Linked DNA regions of Mus musculus. The protein of the gene in region 2 interacts with the protein of the main gene of each other region in a biochemical or structural test. Links are inferred from orthologs where the notes say so. Each region holds a gene or a part of one and is shown on either strand. Other genes may lie near its edges.

Region 1 (3,649 bases), on a different chromosome or scaffold from region 2:
GCAGATCAGGTTATCCTTATCTACATAGTGAGATCAAGGCCACCCAAGGTCACATAAGACCCAAGTCTCAGAGGACAAGGGAGGGAGGTGGGGCATAATAAGAACTGGTCTGAGGAGGGGCATAATATGGACATGGTTGTTATGCATTCAGGCTGTTGTTGAAGAGTGAAGACTTCAGATCTCCAGATGTTAATTAATAATAAATTCGTCCAGGCGGTGGTGGCGTACTCCTTTAATCCCAACACTCGGGAGGCAGATGCAGGTGGATCTCTGAGTTCGAGGCCAGACTGGTCTATAAAGTAAGTTCCAGGGCGGCCACGACACAGAGAAAACTTGTCTCAAAAAGACCACAGAAGAAGAGGAAGAGGAAACCCGAGTTGAAATTGGGTCAGTGCTAGTGACGAGCATTTACTGAGCCCTTCCCATGTGCCCAGCCCTGGGTGAAGCACTGTGGTAAATTATCCCTAGTAATATTTAAAATAGCACATGAGACTCATAAGTGAACTCACTAAGACTTAGAGCTAAGGCACGATAGGTAGGACTGGGATTTGAACCCAGGCAGTGTGGCTCCTGAGACCAACTCACCACTAGCCTCTTGTACTTCCCGGGGGGAGAGACTGTCAGGTCTAGCAGTGTGCTCAGGCTGTCTGCCCCTGTGTGGGACCACTGCCATCCCAGGCCTGATGCTCAGCTTCCTTCAAGATCATACGCCCTTTGTGCTCAGAGAGGTGACATGTGTCTGTGTGTCACTAGTAGGGAAGGTGGCCTGGAATGGTGACATAGGACCAGAATTTGAATGGTTAGGAATGTTGCTGAGGGAAGGTGGCACAGTGGGGGCACAGTGGATTTGCCTCTCTGAGCTTCCAGGTGGGAAGGAAACCATGAAGTTCCGGGAAGCTGTCTGGACAGGAAACTTCTGTTTAGGTTTCAGTGCTCAGAAATAAAAGCTGAGTGTGGAAGTAAAGTCTCTAAGTGAAGATGGAGGGGCTGGTGAGATGGCCCAGCCTAATGACCTGAGTTCAATACCCTGGACCTTACTTGGTGGAAAGACAGATTCCTGCAAATTGTTCTCGGAGTTCCACTAACACACCCATGCACAGAATAAATAAGTAAAAAAAATAAGTAAAAAACAATGTGTGTGTGTGTGTATATATGTATATATATATATATGTGTATATATATATATAGATAGATAGATAGATAGATAGATACACGTATATACACACACATATATATACACACACATACGTGTGTGTGTGTGTGTGTGTGTGTGTGTGTGTAGAGTGGAGTTGGAAGACTTAGGACCAACTTTTCAGAAAATCCAAACCCATATTTCATTGCCAAAATAAGTAGTGAAGAAGGCAGGCAGATAGCAAGGGAGGAGAATCTGCTTCAGAGGCAGCTCAGATAGTGAAGCCAGGTCAACAGGGACCGGGTGATATTCAGGCTATTGGAGGCCAAGACTGGAAAACCAGGTTAAGAATGGTTAAAACTTCCTCCACTGAATTTTCTCTTTAGGATCATGGTCTTAGGATCAAGGAAATTTTCCAGCATCTTTGAAACTAGAAATAGCAATGCAGTTTCAAAAGCAGATGGGTAGCTACAGATGTTGGTACATACCTGTAATCCCAGGATTTTGGAGGCTAACATCTGGAGTTCATGGCCAGCTCTATGAGACCTGGTCTCAATACAAAACAAACATGGTTATGCATACCTTTAATCCCAGCGCTTAAGAGGTGGAGGCAGACAGATCTCTGTGAGTTCAAGGCCAGCCAGAGTTACGTAGTGAAACCTTGTCTCACAACAGGTGAATGAACAAGGGCAATAGCAAACAAGAATAACAAAACCAGGTGGTTGGAAGGCGAACTTGAGGGAGAGCAAACCAATGAGAGAGGAGGCTTTAAAAGCACACAGGAAGAGGAAAAAAACAGGGGTAATCGCCACACACCCTTTAAAATTCTTATTTATTTATCTGATGTGCACTGGTGTTTTCCATGAATGGTTATCTATGTGAGGGTGTCCGATCCTCTGAAACTGGAGTTGCAGACAGTTGTGAACAGCCATGTGGTTGCTGGGACTTGAACCTTGGTGGGGTTCTCTGGAAGAGCTGCCGGTGCTCCTAACCACTTAGGCATCTCTCCAGTCCATGTGCCACACATCATTGTAAGCAGAAAGGCAGAGATGAACACACACACAAACACACATGTACACCTACACACATACACACATACATGTGCACATGTACTCAAAACTCCAAGACAGAGCACAAGTTAATCTTGTCATTCAGTTGAGTGGCCAGTCTTGCTCAAGGTGCGAAGATGGTGAGTGTCCCTAGCATCTTGTGTTTTATCAGTGAATGGGGACAGGAGGTGTCTGTTGCTGTCCTTCTGGTCTAATCAGTGGAAGTGGAGAGAAGAGGATTGAAATCCTAGGCTGGAAGAGAAGCAGATAAGAAGCAGTGGCCATTCTGTGTTCCCTCTCTGTTCAACTCCCTTCTTCTCCCTCTTGGGTTCTTTGTGACTGGATCTCTGTGTCGTATCCTGGCTTGGAACATGAGCTCCTTCTGCATGCATCTCCCAAGTACGGGGATTGCGGCTGTGCACCTCTTACTTGCTTCTCTCCCCTCTCTGCTCGGGGCTAATCCTTGGCCTGCTTTCCAGCCCCAGTGGATGAAGTTGTGATTTCCATCCTGTCGAGTAACGAGGTACAGTCTGGAAGTGAAATGGTACTTCGGTGCTCTGTGAAAGAGGGGACGAGCCCAATCACGTTTCAGTTTTACAAAGAAAAGGAGGACAGACCCTTCCACCAAGCGGTCGTGAATGACACCCAAGCGTTTTGGCACAACAAACAAGCTAGCAAGAAGCAGGAAGGACAGTACTACTGTACAGCCTCCAACAGAGCCAGCAGTATGAGGACCAGTCCCCGAAGCAGCACTCTTGCAGTCAGAGGTGAGTCCACACCCCCACCAGAGCATCAGTGTGGGGGGCTTCCGAGGGTCAGAAAGCACGAATTCCTTGTAAAAGGGAGAGGAGTGGAGACTAGCTCATTTGGGAGAGCTAAGAGACCGGTGTCTGATTAGTTACAATTAGCAGAAACCCACTCATAGTAGCTTGAGCAGAAAAAGAGATGATTCTATTTATATATAATCTGAAAATGTTTTATCCAGTCCCAATTCTAAGTATCCGATAGAGAGATACCAGTTGACAGTTGACGCATACTGTGGGTTAAATGTCTATCCATGAACGACCTGTATCCAACATAGATGTGTTGATAGGATTCTAGCTGTGTGCTTGAATGAGAGAGTCCTGTAGAGATGGAGGGCCACCCCAAATGGAACAACACCTCTACAAAATTAGCTTGGTACCTCCTTGAAGACTGTAGTTGACCTTGGTTTCTAGCAGAAGCCACCATTTCCACCCAGGCTGAGTACAGAAGCCCTCATGGGCAGACACCAAAGCAAAATGCCATTTTTAAGGATCGCAAAATGGGGTCTGAGTTGCTGCTTAAATCTGCTGCCATTTCTTGCTGGTGGGAGGAAAACATGTGTTTCCTTTCTTTCTACCCGACTTCCAGTCTTCCTTGCCCCATGGAAGAAAGGGCTCATTGCGGTGGTTGTCATTGGAGTGGTCATCGCCACCTTAATAGTTGC
Region 2 (3,649 bases):
ACACACACACCTCATGGTGACTTCCTCATGTGCACACACAGACATAAACACAACTCAAAAAGCTAAAGTAGGCCATACTCCACATTCAGATTTTTCCAGTTTGTCTTGCTGTGGTCAGGGTCACATGGTGTGTATAGCATTCATGTTTGTTTCCTGTCTTTCATCTGGAATAGTTTCTATGTCATACTATTGCTCTTGCTCCATACTTGGGACATTCCAGGAGCTGTCAGTTGCACCCTGCAGCTGAGACTCAGGCTGTGCTGTGCCAGGCCCTTCTGCACCACTCCAGTACCTTAGGGCTAAGTTGATTCAGGACAGTCAGGTCAGCTCTGCCTCTTGAGAAGATGATGGTGAGGTTTCTTCACTGGGAACTTACAGAATCAAGGCTAGCTGGGCATGGTGGCACATGCCTTTAATTCCTATAGTGCAGAGACACAGAGGCAGGGGGATTTCTGTGAGTTCCAGGCCAGTCAGGGCTATATAATGAGACTCTGCCTCAAAACAAAAATACTGTGTCTATGTATTGAGAGTGTACAGTGTATTTTGTGTGTGGAAATGCTATGGGATGATTGTCATGGTTAGTTGGTTAGTGTGCCCAGCACCCCACAGTGCATGCTGAGGTGGTGGAGTCTACTCTCAGCAGAGTTCAAGTTTGCTCTACCTTGTCCAGTCCAGTGCTGGGCATGAGGCTTCCAGAGCCCGTGGAAGATGTTATGTCTGAAGATATGTACTGTGGTCAGTGTCTCCCTCCTGCCACAGTCCCCAACAGCCCCTGCCCTAATCACAGTTTGTAGAAGTCGGGATGCTTGGTGAGCCTTCCAATTCTGGATTGGAGTTCATTCATTTCATATGGTCAAGTTGACAACCAGGAATAACCACTGCAGGTTAGAATCCTGTTCTTCCTGCCCCCTCCTCCCCAGTTCTGGGATGGGGATGTGCACAGCTCCCTCTCCTTGCTGCTCAGTCTCCCAGAATGGAAGGTGTCCAGAGTGAAGAGGGTGGCCACGCAGGAGCCTCACTTTGATTGGATTTGTTGTCTGTGCTCTGGGAGCACATCCATGGATAGTGTGCAGTGGCCATTGACTCTTCACATAGTGTACCCATGCCTAAGCATCCCAGGGCACTTGGTCTTAGACATGAAGCCTGTAGATTCTCATGTTCCTTGAATAAGAACTACTCATTCCTCCTGTGGTCTTCATGTAGCCCAGGAAGGCCTTGAACATAGGGAAGTCTGCACATGTGCAGTACAGGTGCATTGTTATGGATATTCACTGCATGGAGAGCCGACTCTGCAGGGCTGTCTGCTCTCTACACACATGGCATGTGTGAGCCTTTATACATGGTGAGATGAGATTACATTCCTGTTGTTTGCTCTGTTGGTTTCCTTCCCCTACCATTTCATCTTAGGGTGCTGTGGTTGAGATGGCTGAGCACATCTCAACATTGTGGGAGGGCTCTGGGTGCCATCGCCAATACTGCTAAATACATAAAGTGCATTACTGTGCCTTCCATCCTTGCACACAGTGATAGAGCTCTGTGCTGAAGCAGGAGTAGTGCCTCTAGCCTGTGTCAGTCAGCAGTTCCTTGCAGCTCTGGGGGCTCTGAGGGTTGTGGTTGCAGCACACTCCTCCTGCAGGTGCCGTGAGCTCCTAACCATTTAGTCAGCATGTTAGTGTTCTTAAGAGTCTGGCCTGTGGGCTGGAGAGATGGCTTAGCAGTTAAGAGCACTGACTGCTCTTCCAGAGGTCCTGAGTTCAATTCCCAGCAACCACATGGTGGCTCACGACCATCTGTAATGGGATCTGATGCCTTCTTCTGGTGTGTCTGAAGATAGCTACAGTGTGCTCATATAAATAAAAATAAGTAAATCTTAAAAAAAAAAAAAAGAGTCTAGCCTGTCCATCTGCCTCTTTTTTTTTCTTTTGATAAAATAGCTTTTTTGTTTCTGTATTTTTCTAAAAATCATATCCACAGTCCTCCTTACTTGTATTTTTTTTTCCTTAACTTTCAGAAAAGCAAAAGAAAAGGACATGAATATACCAATATTAAGTATTCCTTGGTGGACCAGACAAGTGGTGATCAGAGTCCCCTGCCACCCTGCACCCCAACGCCACCCTGTGCAGAGTAAGTAGCGATACGGCGGCAGCGTAGGTCTGGTAGAAGCTTAACAGCAGTTGCTTGCAGTATTCTCCTCAGGCTTGCTTGCTGCCCACTGATGGTGCATGGGGCGGTGGGGTCCAGGGACTCTCTAGGGCTCATGGTTGCAGGGCCCCTAACCAGTAGGCACGTGATGGGCTCTCCAGGATCCTGTGGGGCCCTGGGCATGTTAGGTAGGGTTCTCTGGGGAAAATCTAATTTTCCTTTTGCAGGGAGCATTATTTCAGTGGGAAGCGCTGTCCCTTACAGTGTGGAGACTCTTAAGAATAAATAAACTCTCTGTTCATGTGTGGACATGACTATGATCTGCCAATCTTCCTGTCAGTCAGGGTTTTTAAACCAAGGGTCAGAAAGCCAGAGCCCATAGGCTAGCTTTGCTTTTTAAAGGAGTTCTTATTTAAGACAAACAAACAAACAACCCCAAAAACCTGACAAGCCAACAGTTGCATGGGGACAGCTATCCCAGTAGGAAATGGCGAGCAATTACGAATGGGTGTGCTGTAAAAGAAGCTGCAGGTGGCTTACGGACATGCAGGAGAGGCTCATTTTCCTTGGTGGCCAGCAAACACGAAGGGAAAGCTCAAAGTTCTTTTTTTTTTTTTTGGGGGGGGGTTCGAGACAGGGTTTCTCTGTATAGCCCTGGCTGTCCTGGAACTCACTTTGTAGACCAGGCTGGCCTCGAACCCAGAAATCCACCTGCCTCTGCCTCCCAAGTGCTGGGATTAAAGGTATGTGCCCCCAACGCCCGGCTTCAAAGTTCTTTCCACCAAGCAGAGCCACCAAGCAGTACCAGCAGGGGGTGTCCAGTGGTGGTGAGGACAGTTTTTAAGGAACGGCTGTTATATAGTGGTGGTTCAAGCACATTGGTTCAGCTCCACAGGACAGCTTGCCCCAAACTGCAGCCAGAGCCTTCTGAACACACTAAAATTTCTGACCTTGAACTTGGAGATTGCCTCTTATGGAAGTGCTCAGATCTCAGGAAAGATTGTGTTCCAGAGGCATTCAGTATGATGCCATCTTAACGGTTTGTACATCTGTGACAGAAAAGTGTGACATTTCCAGCATGTGAGTTCAACTAGAGACCCACTTAGAAGCAGAAAGGGCCCAGGCCCTATTAGTCAGACTCCAAGTAGGACTGAACTTAGGACAAAAAATGGAAAATAATCCCTGGTGCTCACTGTTGTCACCGACAACAACCCTGTGCAGCAGCGGCTTGGAGGGCTCAGGTGGTAGAGTATGTAACCAGCGGTGTGGCCATGCCTGTCTACATCATTCTCTGTGTCTGTTAGACAGCCTGCTTACAACTCGTGACGTCAAAGTGTCTTAGGCCATGTTGGGGTGAAACACCCCAGTTCTCTGAGCTGGCGCTCTATAGCCTGCCACTGAAGGCTCCTGGGAGCAGCAGGACTCCAGTAGAAACCACATTCACATTCTGGGAGACCCAGGTCCCTGCAACTTAACTGACAGTTTCCAGGGCTGTTTGGCCAGGATA
Region 3 (3,649 bases), on a different chromosome or scaffold from region 2:
ACACTTGGGAAATGTGGGAAGGGAAGACAAGAAGCAGGGCTCTGCAGATCACCGTTGCTCGCATTTTCTTTCCAGTTCCCGCACATTTTCATTGAGAGTGCCTTACTCAGTGACTCAGACATGCCACTCTATTAGCATGAACAAGGCACTGAACCCTGTCCCCAGCACCACAAAAATAAAATGGAAACTTCTCATCTACTTTTTGAACACAGAAGAGTTTAGTTTATGCTAATTTCAAAAAAAATCAAAAACAAAACAAAACAACAAAAAAAAAAACCCACTGCCCATCGGACAGTTTATGCCCCAGGACATAAACTTATTTCTGTATCTTGTCCAGGGCGCAGGCCTCTGTATATTCAATCCCCCCAAAAGGTGCAGTTATGATTCAAAAGATGGAGCATTATCCTTGTTCGTGATTTGTCCACCACCTCCAGGAAGGGTTGGCCTGGTTTGTCCCCACGGCAGCGGGTGGAAGTCCTCTTCATCCCACCCTCCCTACCGTGGGCCTTTCCAGCACTATCATTTCTAGAGATCCTTCCAACAGAAGCTTTTCAAAAAGCCCGTGTGCTTTGTTTAGAATTCCCTCAGTGAGCCTGGCTCCTGTGTCCAGACGTTTGATAAGCGCTTACGGTCCCTCCTCCGCTCACGTAGGAAGCAGGTCCCGAATGTGGTTCTGGTTGATTTGCATAAGCTCTTCAGATAGATATTTTTATCTGAGTCTCTTTCCATTTCAGGTTGCACGAGCCCGAGAAGAACGCCAGGGAAATAACCCAGGTACAGTCTTTGGTGAGCTGCCCTTCCTGGGAAACTCGGGGTGTGATTTCCTTGCTTCAACCGGAGTTGCGGATCCAGTTCTAAATTAAGTCTCTGGGCTAGGGAGGAGGAGCTGTGCATTACTGAGTCACCCATGAGTCCTCTGCATCCTTCTCCAGCTCCAGCTGGAGAGTCTGGGGCTCCTGGGTTCGTTGTGAATCATTGCATAACATGGGGTACCAGTGTCCCACGTAAACGATACCCAGAGTCAGATTCCAGCTTCCTTTGTTGCTGCACATTCCTGCTTCTGGGCCCCTGCTCTAGCCAGTTCTACCACTGGGAGCCATCGTCAGCTCACCTTACTCTTCCCTGCCTGTCATGGCCTCTCTCACCTTTGTGGAGGAGGAGGAGGAGGAAAAACCCTGTGTCACCAGTGACCTGGATGGATGACAAGATGTCCTGGACCTGGTAGCTTCTCCCTGTTCATCGTTGAGGAGATTTCATAGGCAGTATTAATTCGTTTATTTCCCAGATCCCTGAGCCCTGTTGTCTCTGTCCAACAGTGTCACCTCTGGGGACACAGGGTTCCTCAGAGCCTTGTAAAACAAGACAAACCCAGTCCTGAACCTGGAACGAAAGCCTCAGCTTTCCTGCTATTTCCAAAGCAGTTGACACCACTTTAGACATAACCTGCTGACGGGGCCAGGCTTGGAGAGGTGTGGGATTTGTAAGCCAGACATCTTGTTGTGCCAGCCCGTACCAGCCTTAGGCATGAGCTAAGCAGTAATTAGCAAATATGAGACCATTTCTAGTCATGGCAACCAGAGTTCTTGCCCCCTGTTATTTTGTTTCTGTGCTTCCTTCTGGAATCTTCTGGGTAAAAGACTTGGTTAGTGAAGCCTGTAGAAATTCACATTCCAAGACTTACTGAGTGTGCAAATACATGTCAGGCCCTGGCCCCCAATATCAGCCTTAGTATCTTGCCAGGGAGGGAGACCAGTTCAGTCTCCATGATTTCCCCGACAGCAGGCCTCAGGGTAGAGGTACCACAGTGTGGGAAGTTCACCATGTTAGGCTCCAACAGGCTTCATTTCTTTTCCTCAGCTGAGTGAACTTAGACCAAATCACTGAATTTATATCTGCTCCCTAGGTCACCATTTTTACCTGTAAAATAGGGTCAGTCACTCTTCCTGAGTAGCGTTGTCATCAAGCCTTTGTGTAATGACTTCTGACTATGTGATTGCATCCATCTCTCCGTCTAGCCATCTACCCAACCATCCTCCCATCTGTCTGTCTTTCCATCCATCCATCCATCCTGTCACCATGGACTGGGCCTCTGTGCTAGCCTTGTTGTCTGCAGTATAACAAATGCCCAGTTAACGAAAAAAGAAATGTTGTGAAATAAACATGTAAACGAAGAGGTGTTCCCTATCTTGTGGGAGATCACATTTGCTAAGGTTGCAAAACAAACATAGTCTTTGGTGGTAGATGCTATGCTAGGGAGATGTGAACTGAATTGCTCAGAGGAGCTCTGGGTCCAGCCAGAGGTATTGAGGACCAAGAAGTATCTTAGGGTAGAGCAGTGCTAGAGCAGAATTGTACATGGTTCACTGGGGTCTCTTATGTGGGAGAGGTGAGAGTGGGTGATCCAGGACAAGGAAAAGATATGGGAAGGGGGAGGGGATAGCTTCAGGTGGTTCCACCCAGAAAGAAGGAGGTGACATGAACCTGGAGGAAGCAAGCTGGGACTGGAAAGGGACATGTGATAACCACCCGAGTGTTTCAGAAGACCCTTTGGGCTCTGTGAGGAGGAAGGTGGATTGGAAGAAGAAAGGCTGGAAATGGGATACCATTGGCAGAGTGAAGGCTGAGCCCACTGGGAAAGAAGTGGGCCGATTTTGTTGCCAGTTGGTGGGTCAATAGGCTGGGGCTCCAGAATGACTTTCTCTCTGTGTCTTTTAGATCCAGGACACAAATGACATCAACGACATCACATACGCAGACCTGAATCTGCCCAAAGAGAAGAAGCCCGCACCCCGGGCCCCTGAGCCTAACAACCACACAGAATATGCAAGCATTGAGACAGGCAAAGTGCCTAGGCCAGAGGATACCCTCACCTATGCTGACCTGGACATGGTCCACCTCAGCCGGGCACAGCCAGCCCCCAAGCCTGAGCCATCTTTCTCAGAGTATGCTAGTGTCCAGGTCCAGAGGAAGTGAATGGGGCTGTGGTCTGTACTAGGCCCCATCCCCACAAGTTTTCTTGTCCTACATGGAGTGGCCATGACGAGGACATCCAGCCAGCCAATCCTGTCCCCAGAAGGCCAGGTGGCACGGGTCCTAGGACCAGGGGTAAGGGTGGCCTTTGTCTTCCCTCCGTGGCTCTTCAACACCTCTTGGGCACCCACGTCCCCTTCTTCCGGAGGCTGGGTGTTGCAGAACCAGAGGGCGAACTGGAGAAAGCTGCCTGGAATCCAAGAAGTGTTGTGCCTCGGCCCATCACTCGTGGGTCTGGATCCTGGTCTTGGCAACCCCAGGTTGCGTCCTTGATGTTCCAGAGCTTGGTCTTCTGTGTGGAGAAGAGCTCACCATCTCTACCCAACTTGAGCTTTGGGACCAGACTCCCTTTAGATCAAACCGCCCCATCTGTGGAAGAACTACACCAGAAGTCAGCAAGTTTTCAGCCAACAGTGCTGGCCTCCCCACCTCCCAGGCTGACTAGCCCTGGGGAGAAGGAACCCTCTCCTCCTAGACCAGCAGAGACTCCCTGGGCATGTTCAGTGTGGCCCCACCTCCCTTCCAGTCCCAGCTTGCTTCCTCCAGCTAGCACTAACTCAGCAGCATCGCTCTGTGGACGCCTGTAAATTATTGAGAAATGTGAACTGTGCAGTCTTAA

The links. The genes of interacting proteins can lie anywhere in the genome.
Region 1: the proteins of Ptpn11 (region 2) and Pecam1 form a complex in vitro, tested with the Homo sapiens proteins (4 studies listed by BioGRID, with this or other methods). The link is inferred for Mus musculus from reciprocal best matches to the Homo sapiens genes PTPN11 and PECAM1.
Region 3: the proteins of Ptpn11 (region 2) and Sirpa form a complex in vitro, tested with the Homo sapiens proteins (2 studies listed by BioGRID). The link is inferred for Mus musculus from reciprocal best matches to the Homo sapiens genes PTPN11 and SIRPA.

What each region holds. Positions count from the first base shown.
Region 1 is NC_000077.6:106,684,260-106,687,908, reverse strand, and holds part of Pecam1 (platelet endothelial cell adhesion molecule isoform 3 precursor), read left to right. Parts: intron 1-2,660; coding exon 2,661-2,948; intron 2,949-3,573; coding exon 3,574-3,649. UniProt on the Homo sapiens protein: Cell adhesion molecule which is required for leukocyte transendothelial migration (TEM) under most inflammatory conditions.
Region 2 is NC_000071.6:121,135,892-121,139,540, reverse strand, and holds part of Ptpn11 (tyrosine-protein phosphatase non-receptor type 11), read left to right. Parts: intron 1-2,011; coding exon 2,012-2,124; intron 2,125-3,649. UniProt on the Homo sapiens protein: Acts downstream of various receptor and cytoplasmic protein tyrosine kinases to participate in the signal transduction from the cell surface to the nucleus. Positively regulates MAPK signal transduction pathway. Dephosphorylates GAB1, ARHGAP35 and EGFR.
Region 3 is NC_000068.7:129,627,212-129,630,860, forward strand, and holds part of Sirpa (tyrosine-protein phosphatase non-receptor type substrate 1 isoform 1 precursor), read left to right. Parts: intron 1-734; coding exon 735-774; coding exon of another isoform or gene 775-786; intron 787-2,715; coding exon 2,716-2,973; 3' UTR 2,974-3,649. UniProt on the Homo sapiens protein: Immunoglobulin-like cell surface receptor for CD47. Acts as docking protein and induces translocation of PTPN6, PTPN11 and other binding partners from the cytosol to the plasma membrane.